Linked DNA regions of Medicago truncatula. The protein of the gene in region 1 binds, or shares a complex with, the protein of each later gene. Links are inferred from orthologs where the notes say so. Each region holds a gene or a part of one and is shown on either strand. Other genes may lie near its edges.

The links.
Region 2: protein TIC 55, chloroplastic (region 1) and protein TIC 22, chloroplastic share a complex: the UniProt entries of both Arabidopsis thaliana proteins name them as parts of the tic complex. The link is inferred for Medicago truncatula from reciprocal best matches to the Arabidopsis thaliana genes TIC55-II and Tic22-IV.

What each region holds. Positions count from the first base shown.
Region 1 is NC_053044.1:52,260,705-52,268,609, forward strand, and holds protein TIC 55, chloroplastic, read left to right. Parts: upstream 1-4,899; 5' UTR 4,900-5,073; coding exon 5,074-5,510; intron 5,511-6,265; coding exon 6,266-6,368; intron 6,369-6,476; coding exon 6,477-7,595; 3' UTR 7,596-7,747; downstream 7,748-7,905. Other genes in the region: lariat debranching enzyme, read right to left, coding at 381-661. UniProt on the Arabidopsis thaliana protein: Involved in protein precursor import into chloroplasts. Part of the redox regulon consisting of TIC32, TIC 55 and TIC62.
Region 2 is NC_053044.1:50,225,652-50,233,244, reverse strand, and holds the start of protein TIC 22, chloroplastic, read right to left. Parts: upstream 3,026-7,593; 5' UTR 2,910-3,025; coding exon 2,595-2,909; intron 2,513-2,594; coding exon 2,450-2,512; intron 1,658-2,449; coding exon 1,583-1,657; intron 1,322-1,582; coding exon 1,274-1,321; intron 916-1,273; coding exon 856-915; intron 171-855; coding exon 99-170; intron 1-98. UniProt on the Arabidopsis thaliana protein: Involved in protein precursor import into chloroplasts. Imported into the intermembrane space via the Toc translocon. May be involved in the import pathway used by proteins without a cleavable N-terminal pre-sequence.

The sequences.
Region 1 (7,905 bases):
ACAGTTAGGCACAATAAATAAAAAATAAATAAATAAAGACAGGCGGGCACCTAACGCTAATAGAAATACATTGATTACATAAGCTCTCACACGCAAGCTATGCAAGTAGATTAACTGAAATAAGTCAATTTAGTCCGTCCCTAAGTCAAACTATTTTCATAGAAGCTATAAGTTGTTTTCATAAGTTATTCTAGAGAGCCAGTGAAAATAAGCTGAAAACAGATGTCATAAGCCATTTTCATAAGCTCTGTGAAAGAGTCTCACAAGTGTTTATGCTAGTAAATAAGCTTAAATAACTCAATCTAAAATAGGTCCATAATCATATAGTAACAGTTACAAAATGTGAAATATAGAAAAGAAATCAAATTCAACTCACTCACAGTTCCCATAGATAATTAGAAGCTTCATGATTGCCACCGATGAAGATAGTAGGATAAGGAGCAACCTCCAAGCCAGAATAGTATTTCCAGAAGGAATTCATAGAGAGGAATTTGTCTGGTACGTTGAGGCTTTTCAAATCATTCTTGTTCCTCACGGCCTGAAAATCGCCGCAACAGAGAAGAAGATCGATTTTGGTGTTATTAGTTTTCTCGAGGTGTTGAAGGGTTTTGTAGACATTGTCTAAATCGCCATGCATGCATCCTTCTATTGCTATCTTCATCTTTTCTCAGTTCGATCGAAAAGCCTCACGCTAGGGTTTGGATGGGTTTTATCGGAGCAATAGTCTCGACTCTCGAAGATTCCTCTGCGTTCTCGTTTCGTTTCTGAACGGTTTTTTTTAGGTGAATTGTCGTTTTAGTCCTCTGCTATAATAAAATTTGAGCAAATAATCACTTTATAGTCCCTGATTCTGCAGCTCGCTGTTAGATAGGTCTCTGACTCAGGATTAAATACAAATAAGTTCCTAACTCTGCACTTCCGTTGTCACTTTAGTCCCGGATGTTAAAAAAATATGTTAAGTGATTATGATGATGTGGCGCATATGAGGTGTCACAGAGACCAAAGTGAAAGTAGAAAATGGTCACTTTGGTCCCTGAACCAAAAATCAATATTCCCAAATTGAATATCAAATCCCTAAATCTTAAATCCTTAAATATTATCTAATTATCTTTTTTTGCTCAAAATCAATCTTCCAAACACCAACCTACTGTTATGTTCCTGACTGTGCATACTTACTATCAGTTAGGTCCCTGACTATTAAGGATCTTTTTGGCTTGAAAGCTGATCTTGAGGCAATGATATGTTGGGCTAAGGTTTGGAGTTTTATATAGTAGTGTCATAGTGTTGTGGTTCTGTTACCTCTTTCTCCCTTTAGTATATTAATGGCATCAGGATTACATATATAGATAAATGAATTATGAAAAGTGTGTTTAATTATAATCTCTGTAAGTATTTTAAAGTTATAGCTTGATTTTTTATGTGTCTTTCAACAACAATATCAAATTTTTGGTGGAGAGATGTGAATAACTAATGCATAAATTCACTTGCTAAAATACACAGGCTTAAAGTTAATGACATTCAGATTTGTACAAGAAGGTGTTGATTCAATAGTATTAAATATCATATTCATGCTATTAAGTTACATTAAAGAACTTATGTTTTAGTTGCTTTAACTTCTCATGAAAGAAAAATTAAAGTGAGAAATTTGATAATAAACTTGGAAACATGAAAAGTACCTAGTAAGTAGAACAAATTTTGAGTTAGAAATTATGTTAAAAGAAATTCAATAGAAATGAATTATCATTTAAATATATCTTGAGCTCTTGATTATTGTATGCTCAGACCTACGGGTAGATATATGAATTATCATGTGAATATAACAATAATCAAGAGTAATAGATGCTAATGGATTTGCTAATTCATTGTCAGGGACCTAACTGATAGTAAGTATGCACAGTTAGGGACCTAACAATAAATTGTGTTTAATGGAAGATTAATTTGAACAAAATAGAGAATTAGATGACATTTAGGGATTTGAGATTTAAGTATTTAGGAATTTGATATTCAATTTAGGAATATTGATTTTTGGTTCATGGATCAAAGTGACCATTTTCTACTTTCACTTTAGTCCTTCTGACACCTCATATGCGCCACATCATCACTTAACAGATTTTTTTACGTCATGGACTAAAGTGATAACGGAAGTGCAGAGTCAGTGACCAAAATGACTATTTGCTCAATAAAATTTGTTTATCATTTAAATCTAAATTTTTGGAATTTGCAAACAGGTTTAGAACAACATAAAAATCTTGCTTATTTTAATTTTAATTTTTTTAAATATGAGATGAGATAAATTAAATATGATGTTCTAAACATGTTTATAAAAAAATTGTTCAAAAAATTTAGAGTTTAAGGTTTGTTAAACAAATTTTGTTTTATTAGGGACTAAATCTATGTACAAAAGTTTTTATAAGACTAAAAAAAACTATTAAAATTAGAAAAATATTAAAGAGTTTGTGAGGTTCTTAACCAATGTCCTTTGGACGCCGATTTACAAGACCCTTAAAATTAAATAAGGATTCAACTTAAAAAATTATCATTTTATAAGGACCAAACATATATTTAACTTTAAATTTAGTATGGATCTCATAATAAGAGGAATGACAATTTGACGTATGGTGGATTGATTAGTTTTAGAGATTCCCACGATGGTTTGGTACTTAAAGGTTTCGTTGCAAGCTTCAACATAACAATTCTCATTGTGTTGAGATGTGGGGTTTAATTCATGGGATGTGCATAGCTCACAATCTCCATCTTGCACATGTTATTTTTGAAATGGATTCTACATTTGTTGCGACCGCGGTTATTAATTGAACCACTTTTATTACCTACACTTGTTGCGACTGTGGTTCTCAAATTGGTTTGCTCTATAATTAGTGCATAGAATAGAACACTTGTTAGCAATACCCTAAAAAATAAAGAAAGTATTGCAAAAAACTTTTTCTTTGATTTATAGGTTTACTCCATAAAAATAATTAGAGTTTAACGGGAGTTGCACTCTTGGTGTAAAATAGTTTACTGTTACCTAAAGTTAGTCCACTGTATTTAGAGTATTTAGAGACTTAAAACAAATTTTATAGCAAAACTTAAAAAAAAATAAAAAAAAAATACACACATATTAATATGGAGGAATACATAAAAGAAAATTATTATGAATAACAACAAAGTAGAAATAACGTCAAAACACCATAGAGTAAACATCATAAGTAGATTGTCTGTTGCAGTGTTGTTGAATCTTTTCCTCCTTATTTATAACAAAATCATTTGAATGCAGTTATGCAAAATGTAATGAAAAAACATAAATGGCATCCTCAACAAGGATTCTCTAACATTAAAGCGAGAATGTTATTTGATTTTATTTTGGTCTCTCTCTCATCTCATCACTTATTCGACTTTTTTTGTTGGATGGATGGTTCGTCTAACACATCCATCAATATGAGGGTCGATTAAGAGAGAGAGGAGGTTCATGATTTAATCCAAGAGATGGCGTTGTTTGGGGTTAAGTCTACACCGACCCTAAATTAACTTTGAGGAGCAAATAACCACTCAAAATATTAGGGCCAAGTTGATGAGATAATGGGGGAGAAACTCTGATCCTCCCCTAGTAGTCTCATACCAAAACCTAACTCACCATTTACCCATGAAATATACAAAACATTGGTGGCCTAGTACCTGACACTTTCCTACTAGGTTTGACCTAAAGTTCACTAACAAGAACTTTTAAAAGAAAAATCACAATTGTTATTTTTTTATAAATGAGGTATTTTTTGTGCTAGCACTAATTAATTTAAGAGAAATGTTAACGAGTGTCTCCGAGGTACTCTTTAAAAACTTTTAATAGTAAGTTTTTATGAAAAATTGTGTAATCAATGCATTGAAATTTGTAACATTAGACTTTTTTAATGAATATTTTCTAAATTTAGGATCCTTAAAGAATGTCTTGGATGCACTAGTTAACAAGACCCTTTATTTAAATACAATCATACAAGAATATCAAAATACATTAACGTCATTCAATTTTTTTTTTAACTAACTCACATTTTTTTTTACTATAGATGACTATGTTCAAGCGGTCGTTAGATATTAAATATAAATGTTTATTCTAATGAATATTTCAAACACAATTAATGTTTGAATTGTGATTCCGAGTTTTGTGAAGATTATACCTCTGCTGCCAAGATTTTTTTGCGTGTTAATCCTTCGATTTATAAAAAAAAAGTTCATAGTAATTTGGACTTCAGTCAAAAGATAAGTATCATCTAACTAAAAAAATTCTCTCAAAATCAAATTTAGATTCTTCCTAAAAATTGACAAGGTACTTGACACACCACATTGTAGATAACACCAAAAATCACATGAGAATATGTGCACTCCTGTTGTGGAATCAATTTAGAGTCACATGACGTGAAGGAACATACTACATCCTTTATTTTGTATGAAAAAGAAAAACACATAACATATGGGTTTAAATAACAAACAATTATTCAGTAGGAGTATAGTCACAGTGTAGGACAAATTTATTTTGAAGATCCTAACCACACATCACATGTTACTTCCAATGGAATGCATCTATTTAGCCACGTTTGAAAATGAGCTTAAAAAATTCTACTGAGAGTTCAATTTGCTTCCTACATTTTACATCAAGAGTAGCGTTATGAGCACTCCTTTTTAAATCCACTCTCTTATTTAAAACTCAGACGAGTTCCACACTTTTTAAATCGATTCTTCCTAGCATTTCAATTCTTTACGTTAAACCTTTTATTAGTAACAGTGGACCACATTAGTGTTTTGTTTTTTTGACAAAAGTGGACCACGTTGGTTTTGTTATGGTTGTGTTTAGTCTCATATAGACACTATGAAACGACAATAGTTAACGAGAATTCATCCATGTTGCGTGTAATGGATTATGTGTCCAAATTTTCATTTTAAGGTAAAAGAATCAGCAATATTTTGTGTGGTTATGAATGTCACACGAGTCTTGCAACCACACACAACACTCACCTGAAAGTATCTCTTCTAATTCTTCTTTCTTTACCTCGATCAGTTTCTAGTACTGCTTCTTGATTTCACTCTATGGCGTTGGTAAATCCATTTCTTCTCCCTACCAAAACTCATTTTGCTTTGCCAGTTTCACCTCCACCATCCAAACAAATACTCCTTTGGACTAGCCCATCTTCCAGTTTCAGTTTCAATCTCAACAAAGGCTTGTCATCAAGCAGAAGAAAGCATGCAGGGTATCTCCCCGCCACGGCAGATGTCAAAACTGCATCAACTTTACTTGATGTGGAAGAAGATCAGAAAGTTCTAGTGGGACCTTCCAGTGAGCAAGAACGCAGGGGTGAGAGAGAACTTGCAGCTTATGATTGGAAAGAGGAATGGTACCCTTTGTACCTCACTAAGAATGTACCAGATGATGCACCGTTGGGTCTCACAGTATTTGACAAGAACCTTGTTTTGTTTAAAGATGGCAATGATCAGTTTCAATGCTATGAAGATCGGTGTCCTCACAGGTTGGTTTTAATTTATCTCGCTTCTAATTATTCTTATGATTGATTTTGCTTTCAACTTCTTTATGTGATCACATCCCATATGTAAGAATTCATAATTGATTTAACCAAAGTTGCATGCTATGTGATTAAATGAAAATAACATGATTATTGATGCAGATACAGCTCTTCTCAGTTAATACAGATTTTGTAGCTGTATACTGTGTATATACTTGGTGCTCCTAATGTTCGGGTTTATTTTTCTCTACCATGATGTGAAATCAAACTCAAGGATCAGAAACTAATCCAATGTGTTTGTCTGATAATGAGATCTATATTACTCTATTTAGGAATAAGATATTGGTATTAATAATGTTAGTGGATTGTTATGTTAGTTATTAATTATCTCTCTGTAATACCATATTTACAATACTGCTACTGCTGAGAAGAGGCTAGGGTATATTTAAACATTTGAGTATCACTGAAATTTATCAAAACAAATTTGATTCATTTAATATTTGTATCTTTCCTAGGACAGTCACTAAGTTCACCTAATGAATAATGATAGTATGTACCAATTTCAATTACTTACGAATTCCCCTGTGCTAGTTGTTTTCATAGGTGATAATGAACATTAATAAATATTCTCACGTTAACCGGCTAATTTTTTCAAAATTAAATCAAACCATCTACATTTGATTGGCAAGTAAGTATAAGAAATTATGATTTTTTATTCCTTTCACAATGCTGGACTGGATCTTATATTTTATATGATTCAGGTTAGCAAAACTATCTGAAGGCCAGTTGATTGATGGAAGGCTTGAATGCCTGTATCATGGATGGCAATTCGAAGGCGAAGGGAAATGTGTGAAGATACCTCAGGTAGGCTACTGACTTTAGAGTTCTACTCACCTATATCATGAATGTCCTTATATGGTTTGAGGCTAACAAGTAACAAGTAATAATAACTGTTTTCTCTGTTTTCAACAGCTTCCAGCTGATGCAAAAATTCCCAGGTCAGCCTGTGTTAAAACATATGAGGTGAGGGATTCTCAAGGTGTTATTTGGGTATGGATGTCACCAAAGGTACCTCCAAATGTCAGCAAAATACCTTGGTTTGAGAACTTTGCAAGGCCAGGGTTTCAAGATGTTTCAACAACTCATGAACTCCCATATGATCATTCTATTCTACTGGAAAACTTGATGGATCCTGCTCATATTCCAATCTCGCACGATAGAACAGATTGGACTGCAAAGAGAGAAGATGCACAACCGCTACTTTTTGAGGTGACAGAACGAACTGATAGAGGGTTTGCAGGTTGGTGGGGACGAGAGAAAGACGGCACTAAGCCTAACTTCTTACGGTTTGAGGCTCCTTGTGTTCTACAAAATAACAGGGAAATTGTAGATAAAAATGGTGAAATAAACTACTTCAGTGGTCTGTTCCTTTGTAGGCCAACTGGACAAGGGAAATCCATGCTGATAGTGAGGTTTGGAGGAACAAAAAGATCTCCAATAGTAAAACTGTTTCCTCAATGGTACTTCCATCAGAATGCAAGCAAGGTTTTTGAACAAGACATGGGATTCTTATCATCACAAAATGAAATTCTTTTGAAAGAGAAGGTTCCGACAAAGGAACTATACCTGAATTTAAAATCATCAGACACATGGGTTGCTGAATACCGTAAGTGGATGGATAAAGTGGGACACGGGATGCCATATCATTTTGGTCACAACACTATTTCCCTGCCCAAAGAGCCGGCTGTGATTGAACATGCGCCTGCTGGACTCATTGCAGGACTATCAGCTTCTTCACCTGCAAAGGGGGGCATTGGAACAATGCATGCTCCAAATTTAGCAAATAGATATTTTAGGCATGTAATACATTGCAAAGGATGTAGAACCGCCGTCAAAGCTTTTCAAACTTGGAAAAATGCCCTTTCGGCTGTGGTCGTTGCATTAGCTGCATTAGCAATTCTGGTTACTGGGAGACAATGGAAAGCCATCCTGTTGGCATCTGCAGCCCTGTGCTCTGTTGGAGTATATGCTTGTTCAACAGCTGTTGCATTGAATACAACAAATTTTATTAGGACACATAGGAGATTGTGAGCAACAAGTTGTAAAAAATCTCCCTTTTCAATATTACCCTTACAGCTTGTATAATGGTTTTTTATGACATCTAGTGTTGTCTCCATCTATGTAATTTAAGCCAAACAAGTAATAGAAGAAGAAAAAGTTTCTCAACAATGTGTTCAGGTGAAGAGTCACCGTCTGCTAGAAAAGCATACTGTCTATTATTTTATGTCCTTTTCAAAAACAAAACAAAATCTGTAGTAGTTTACTATACTTTATCCACAAAGAGGTCGAGAAGAAATTATATAATGATCATGCTTGAAAGAAAAAAGAAAGAAAACAATCA
Region 2 (7,593 bases), about 2.0 Mb from region 1:
TTCACCATAATTGTTTTCAAGGTCATATAGTTTCATACAGAGTAACAAGTTTCTGACAGACTAACAAAAACAAGAGCAAGAGATGAGAGATTCTATACCATTATTTGCTTGGAAACTCCAGGACCTTTAGATACCCTGGAAACCTTAGATAGTTCTTGTTCAATATCTTCCTGTCCATTTAAACAACAAACGAAAACTATCATATGATTATATTCCATCAAGCTACATGCCTAACTATGATTTGGGGTTAATTGCACTTATGGTCCCTCTCTTATTGCCAATCTGCAATTAAGGTTCATCCTATTTTTCATTTCTCAATTTGAGCCCATTAATCAAGTTGTCCCTAAATGTTTAACAATGAAGATGATGCAACAGTCAAATGCTGACATGACATTGAACGTGTGAAGCTAACACGGCCACCAAGTGTTGTTTGTATTACACACACATTCATACTTGCTATATTACGGTAGCCCGTTGAGTTGGTGTAGTGGTTAAGAATGTTAGTTTAAAAGCCTAGGTGTGAATTCGGGTCCTAAGCATTCTACTTTGCTAAAAAAAAATAAAAATAAATTGTTTATATAGCCATATAAGCATCATATGTGTACAGCAGACATGTAACACCATATAAGCACTCTATAGCCATGTCAATTTCACATATTCAATGTCACGTATTTGACCGCCACATCATCATCATAGTTAAAAATTGGATGACAACTTGACTGAGGAACCAAAATTGTGTAATTAAAAATATCGAGGGACAAAATTTCTAAATTAAAAATAGAGGGACAAAATTGCATATTGACCATAAGAGAGGGACCAGAATTGCAATTAAAGAGACCAATGGGTTAGACAAACCTTAGAGAAATATACAGGGCAATAACGTTTATTCTTCTTCTTCACAACCAAAAGTTCTGACTGTAAGCAAATGTGATTATTAGTCAATAGGTTAAAAATTAACATGATCAATTACTACCAATATTTTTCAAATATTTAAATTAGACTCCAGATGGGCAGATACTAAAATAGTTCGATGGTTTTTAAGCTGTTTGCCAGTCTTGGAATTTATATGTTCCGTACCATGCATTGGCTGCAGTTAATTACTTGGCAGTAAGTTCAGTGAAAATAAAATATTATGAATTCCACACTTATAGCTACTGATATATACATTAACGAAACGACAAACACATGTCAATCTGTATCTCCTGCCCACACCCTCACCATTGCCCAATCAGTCCTCTGAAGGACTGGAGACTGCCAAAGTAAGAAAACATACCTGAAAAACAGGAACTCCATCAAAACCTTCCTTGTTGGCGGCTCTGAGCTGATAAACACAACGAAAATGAAATTAAACACAATCCAACAGTTCAGCACTTGAACATATATGCTACCTGTTCAGTCACAGAATTCCCACACCGCAGCTATCATGCATATTACTGAAGCTTATTTTCCTCCATGATTTACATTTAAAACTGATAAGACTTAACTCATTCCATAGTGACACTGGTATAGGACTCAGATGATGAAAATACTAGTTTGGCTTTTAAGTAATATGTTGTGTGCAACAATTATAACTGGAACTAACCTCTAGTGCATTCCTTATTTGAAGTGGATCGGGTAAAAATCGGAATGCAATACCTTCAACCTTCAACAAGTATACCTATAACGCAGGCAGAAAAGTTGTTACAGATACAGGATAAAAACCATACTTATTATGCTTCAAAAAGTATCTGATAGCAGGTTCCCCCTTACCCTTTATTAAAAGGAAAGGTGTGACATTCATGGTTGTAGGTGCTATGTCAGTAGCACATGGTTCTAAATGCTGATAGTAACATAGCCCGTATTGATACGAATTCAAAGGGGGAAAATCACGTAGAATCATTTCATTTACAACTGATTCTTAAAAGTCTTGAAGGTTTTTAACAATGAATTGTTTCCAACATAATTAATTAATTACTTTGACTCTCAATATGATAGAAGCCAAACCATAATTTCATTGAGTGCCATTGATACATGAATTAGGCCCTTTTGGATAAAAAAAAAACTTATTTGCACCTTATAGTACAAACACTTATCATGATAAGCGCTTATGTATCAGCTTATATAAGCTATTTCTATAGCAAGAGATAAAATAAAGTTAAATTGTTTTATTTTATTTTATTTGGATTACTAAGTTAAATTGTTTTTGTTTATGCTATAAACTGTTTTCATAAACTATCTTGGACAACTTATGAAATAAGCTGAACAAAACTTATGAAAAATGTCATAAGTTGTTTTCATAAGTTCTCCCAAACGGTTTCACAAAATTTATGCCACTAAATAAGCTCAAATAAGCCCTTAGTGAATTAAAAGCATTCGAGTACGAAACACAGGATGGTTTCATTTTCACATCAACAAAATGTGATAAAACCAGGATTAGCAGGAGATAATTATGAAATGGAAAAATAACTACCTGTTCAAGAGTTATTGGAACAACCTTAGCATTGCCTCGAAATTCATTTTTCCTTGATCGAACCTAAAACAACGAACAAAAAAATCATTAACAGCATGAAATCAAGAAAATAAAAAATGAACAAATTACTGAGAGAGGAACTTACCTGAGCAAGGAAAGCTTCAGCGTCTTCTTGGCGAAAGCAAAGCAATCCGATGGACTTAGCACCTTCAGCATCAGACATAAGTACGAATTCATTGTTGGAACTACTGACGGTGTAAACGGAGGTTCCGGCGAGAGATTTGGCGACGTGGTTGGAAGTTAAAGTAGCGGCGAAAGCCGGTTTGGTGCGAGTGTGAGATTGAATTAGGGTTCCAGCGAATTTTCTTGTGTCTTCGAAACGAGTTGCAAGGTGGTTACAGTTTTGATGGATGAACCGCGAAAATGATAGAAGCGGATTCCACTGTCCTTGTGACTCCATTTTTGTTTCTTCTACTAACTTCTAAGTTCTAATCGTGGATAAACTACAAACTCGGATTTTGTCAAAATTGTGGGTTAAGCGTCTAGTTTGTTTTGGCCCAATAGTGAATTAGAGTCGAGTGGTTAATCTTCCTTGAGAAACAATTGATGTATAAGATGAGTTCATAGGTTTGATTTAACATTCGTCAAATCCTTTGTCGAAATTGTCAATTATCTCTTCTGAAATTGAACTTTGAGTGAATTGTCAATCATTTCTTCTCCGAAATTGTAACTTTTGTGGAAAATCTTTCTCGATTTTGCGAAACTTCAAAAACCTCCTTGATTTTGTCAGACGTATGTTGCACTCTTCTCTGATTTTGCCATTACTCTCTATGACATGCAAAATCGATAGACACATTTGACAAAATACTGGAGGTTTTGAAGTTTCGCAAAATTGAGGGAGTATTTTGACGAAAGTTGCAATTTCGAGTTGGTGGTAATTGAACTTTTGATCATATGTGTAAAAGACTCAAATCGCTTAGTATTTGGACTAGTTCATTGGTTATTTTATAGTAGTTCATTTTTTGCCGGTGCATGAACCAGATAAAAAAATATAAACGAAATGAATTTGATTTAAACATTTGAATTTTCAATTAATATTTGCAAATTGTTCCCTAATTATTTTTTATAAATTGCAATTTGGCCTCTATAAATTTTAAAAAAGATTAAATTAGTCATGAAAATTCATCTGTATAGTTTTTCAAAATTTGTAAATTAATCCCTCTAGTTTTACAAATCGTTACTCTAGCACCATGAGTATAAAGTGGGATATTGAGAAAATTGTTGAAGACAACGATTTCAAGTTGTTGAAGGTGAGGATACAAGTAGTCTTGACTCAACAATAGTGTACATAGGCATTGAAGGGTGATGGTGCATTTGTTGACCACCATATCACAAGCAGACCAAATCGAGATTGGGACAAGGCCAAGAGTGTGAATGTCTTGTGTCTTGAAGACAACGAAAATGAGGGATATTGTTGTACCAAAGTAGTATGACTGTGGAATTCTTGTGTGTTATGCTTTAATTGTGGCTGAGGAGATGCAAGACTCGAAACCAAGTAGCTTTATAGAAACAATTAAGAGCAAGGAAATCTTCAAGAAGACGTAAATAATCACTCCAAAGGTTGAAAGGCTATGATAAAACTTGTGGAACTACCTAAAATGCCTAGTGTAGTAGGATCCAAGGGCCATAAAGAGACTGGAAGTAATTCTGAGGGTTCAAGAGGTAAATATGAAATCTTATGAGAATACATGTGTAGTTGGAAGCAAGGGCAAACAACAAGGTGGTTGATGGTTAAAGTGGCATCACCATCAATTTAAGAGCAATGTGGATAATTGTTCAATATGCCTTGAAATTGTGTTTCACGAAGACTATGTGCTACTACCTCATGCATGGGGCACATAGAAAAAGGATACGTTGGGCACATGGATGTGCTTTGCAATAGTCTTCTTGCTACTGCTCGGGGCACAATGCTCCATCTGTGGAGCACATGTACACGTTTTTTTTTTTTTTTTTTTTTTTTTTGTATTTGGCAAGTTTTAAGGGTTGAACACATCTTATAAATATGACCTCTTGTTTAGGGTTTAAGAGTGTGAAAAAAGACAAGCTTAGAGAGTACAAAAGAGGGAACCTTTAGAGAATCAATTGACTAAACATTAGTGTCTATTGGGGAGAAATTCTAAGGTCGGGGAGCCCATGTATCTCTTTGTAAGAAACTCTTTGATGGTGGATTGGAGAACAATTATCTCCTCCAAACATATATCGATTTGGACCGAATTGGATAAACAAATATTGTTGTCTTCTTCTCCTCTTCTTCCTCCTCCTTTTATCTTATTTTATTGTATGTGGTTGTTTGGTTACTTTAATAACTTATTGTTGCTAATTTTGTTCCACACATCGAAATATTGATGTAAAAGAGATGCGGATGTTTTTCACATTCGATCAAAATGACATCTCATATATTTGGTTCAACTTGTAGGCTTGATTTTTCTTATTTGTTGGAAAACTCTTAAGATTGATGTTTATTTTAAGGTAAATCAATAAAGTTGCTTATGCCTTAACTTAATGGCTATATCTTTTTTGGTTACAAAGAAAAAAGGAAGAAAAAAAAAACTAAGGTCTCACAAACCGAGTACCATTAGCATCAGCAATTAAAAAGGGGCCTAAATCTGTAGGGGGGTTTCTACAAACTGTGAGGTCGACATTGTTTCTAGCACCCGTCTTCACAAACCAGTCCGCACAAGAATTACCTTCGCGGTAGATGTGAGATATATGCACCTGCCAATTACGTTGCAGCAGCTTACGCAACAAAGCAACCTCATTACCATAAAGATGATATAATGTGTTTGCCTCATTAATGAGTCTAATAGTTTTCAAGGAATCAGTAAAACATTGAACTTTCCGGTACCCTTCTTCCCAACACAACAACATACCTTTAAGCAAACCCATCAACTCGGCATACAAGATATTAGACCAACCAACAGATCCACTAAGCCCAAGCATCAATCGACCTTCATGATTTCGAATGATGCCTCCAAAGCCCGCTGCACCTGGGTTAGTGAGAGCGCTCCCATCAACATTCAAAGCAATCCATCCAGTATCCGGTCTCTTCCAACAAACCTCACGTGCAACCTCACTTCCACGAGCACATGTGCCCCCAATTCCAAATGCCTTGACAGTGTGCATGTAAAGAGCATTACACTCTGCTACAATTATAAAGAATGGTGTCTTTATGCCATCAAAAATGAACTTATTTCTGGCACACCAACACTTCCACATGATTAAAAGTGGGAAAATTCCATGATTTTTAAAACAATTCTCCACCCAAGAACCTAAGGAGCTGTCATCCGCAGGTGGAATAAGAGAAGTATTGAAGCACTTCTTCCAAACCTCTTTAGCTATTGTACAAGTCAAAAGACAATGGATCATAGCCTCTTCTGATGCATTACAAATAGGACAAGTCGCTGATGGAGCTATATGACGAGATACAAGAATTGACTTTGTTGGTAGAGAACTAAGGCAAATTTGCCACATAAAAAATTGAATATTGGAAGATACCTTGAGTTTCCAAATCCAATTAAAGTTGTGGTTGTTTTCAACATCATGGAAGCGATTCAAAAGAGTGTGATAAGCTGATTTTGTTGAATATATTCCTGTAACACAATGGTTTATTACATGATGGCTATATCTTTATTAATGGCCAAATCCAATTAATGGCTATATCTATAACTACTAGTTTGTATCTCTTTATTAATATTCATTATATTAAATGGTTTATTACAATGAAATGATTTAGTTATACTTTCTCATACTTATTAAATAATCTAACAACCATGTACCAAAAAAAAAATGTAACAACCCACCTTTAAATTTAATAACACTTCTCATCTTTTTCCAACACATGTCTATTGGAAATAGATCATACTATTTTTTGCTGTTGATAAATTCCAGATTCTTGATCTATACTAGATGAAGGATAAGCGCGGATATTTTTATTATTAGTTGCTATTGGTGTATGCAGACCTACCAAGGAGAATAAATAAAGACGGTGGTTTTTATGTTTAAATATCAGACTAATACAAAAAGAAAAAGGCTCACCGCACAACATCGTGCATGCAGTTTAATCTCTATTTTTTTAAGAAGAAAAATCTTCCACCAGTAACAGTGTAACATTTAGTAAAATTTACACTTCCCTATTTTTCAATCAGATATGTTAATGGACATAGAAAATTGATAAAAATACGGTGTCTTTGTGTGTTTGTATATTTTGGTAATTCATGTAAACCGCATATAAAATAAAATAAAAAGTGAGAAAGATGAAGTCAGTAAATAAGCTTGATTCAAAAAGAGTGGCCGACTATTTTAGTAAAAGTAGGGGAGATATTATGGCATGTTATTTTTTGAAAATTCTCATATTAAATTTATTCAGAACATGCAAATGTGGCCGCTTACGCGTTAGCAATATAGCCTCGTTTTCAACTAACTCCTAAATTTATGTCGATTTAACCAAAATATACTTTATATAGTGTTCATGTCAAAATTGTGTTCAAATAACATCACTATTACCGCAAAAGGAGATTCCATAAAAAAACATTACCACAAAAGGAGATAATTTTATAAGTTTGTGTATAGTCCATTTTAGTCAACATGCATTTCTAATTTTTCCACAGAGGATCGAATATATTCTAACGTGTTTTTCTAACGAAGTAAAAAGAATGTGTTTGTAACCTAATGAACAGCACTAGTGCTTAAACAAAGCAAGAAACTAAGCAAATGTGGCAATATAAATACAACATCCAAGCTTGAAAACTAATCACGAACAAAACATATAACACTAGTTAGTGACTGATAGGGAATATTTCAAATTTCTCAAATTTCAGGTATGGCGTTCATGGAGCACAAAGGGTTCAATGGTCATCATGGAAAGCGTGTGATGACGGTGGAGCAATTCAAACTATGGTTGAAGACAGCGTTTGACACAAACGGTGATGGAAGAATGAGCAAAGAGGAACTGCGACATGCTGTGCGCCTTGCTAGAGGACTCTTTGCATCTTGGAGTTGTGATACAGACTTCAAGTTTGCAGACGCCAACCACAACGGTTTCATTGATGAAAATGAAGTCAGAAACCTTGTCCACTTTGCAGACA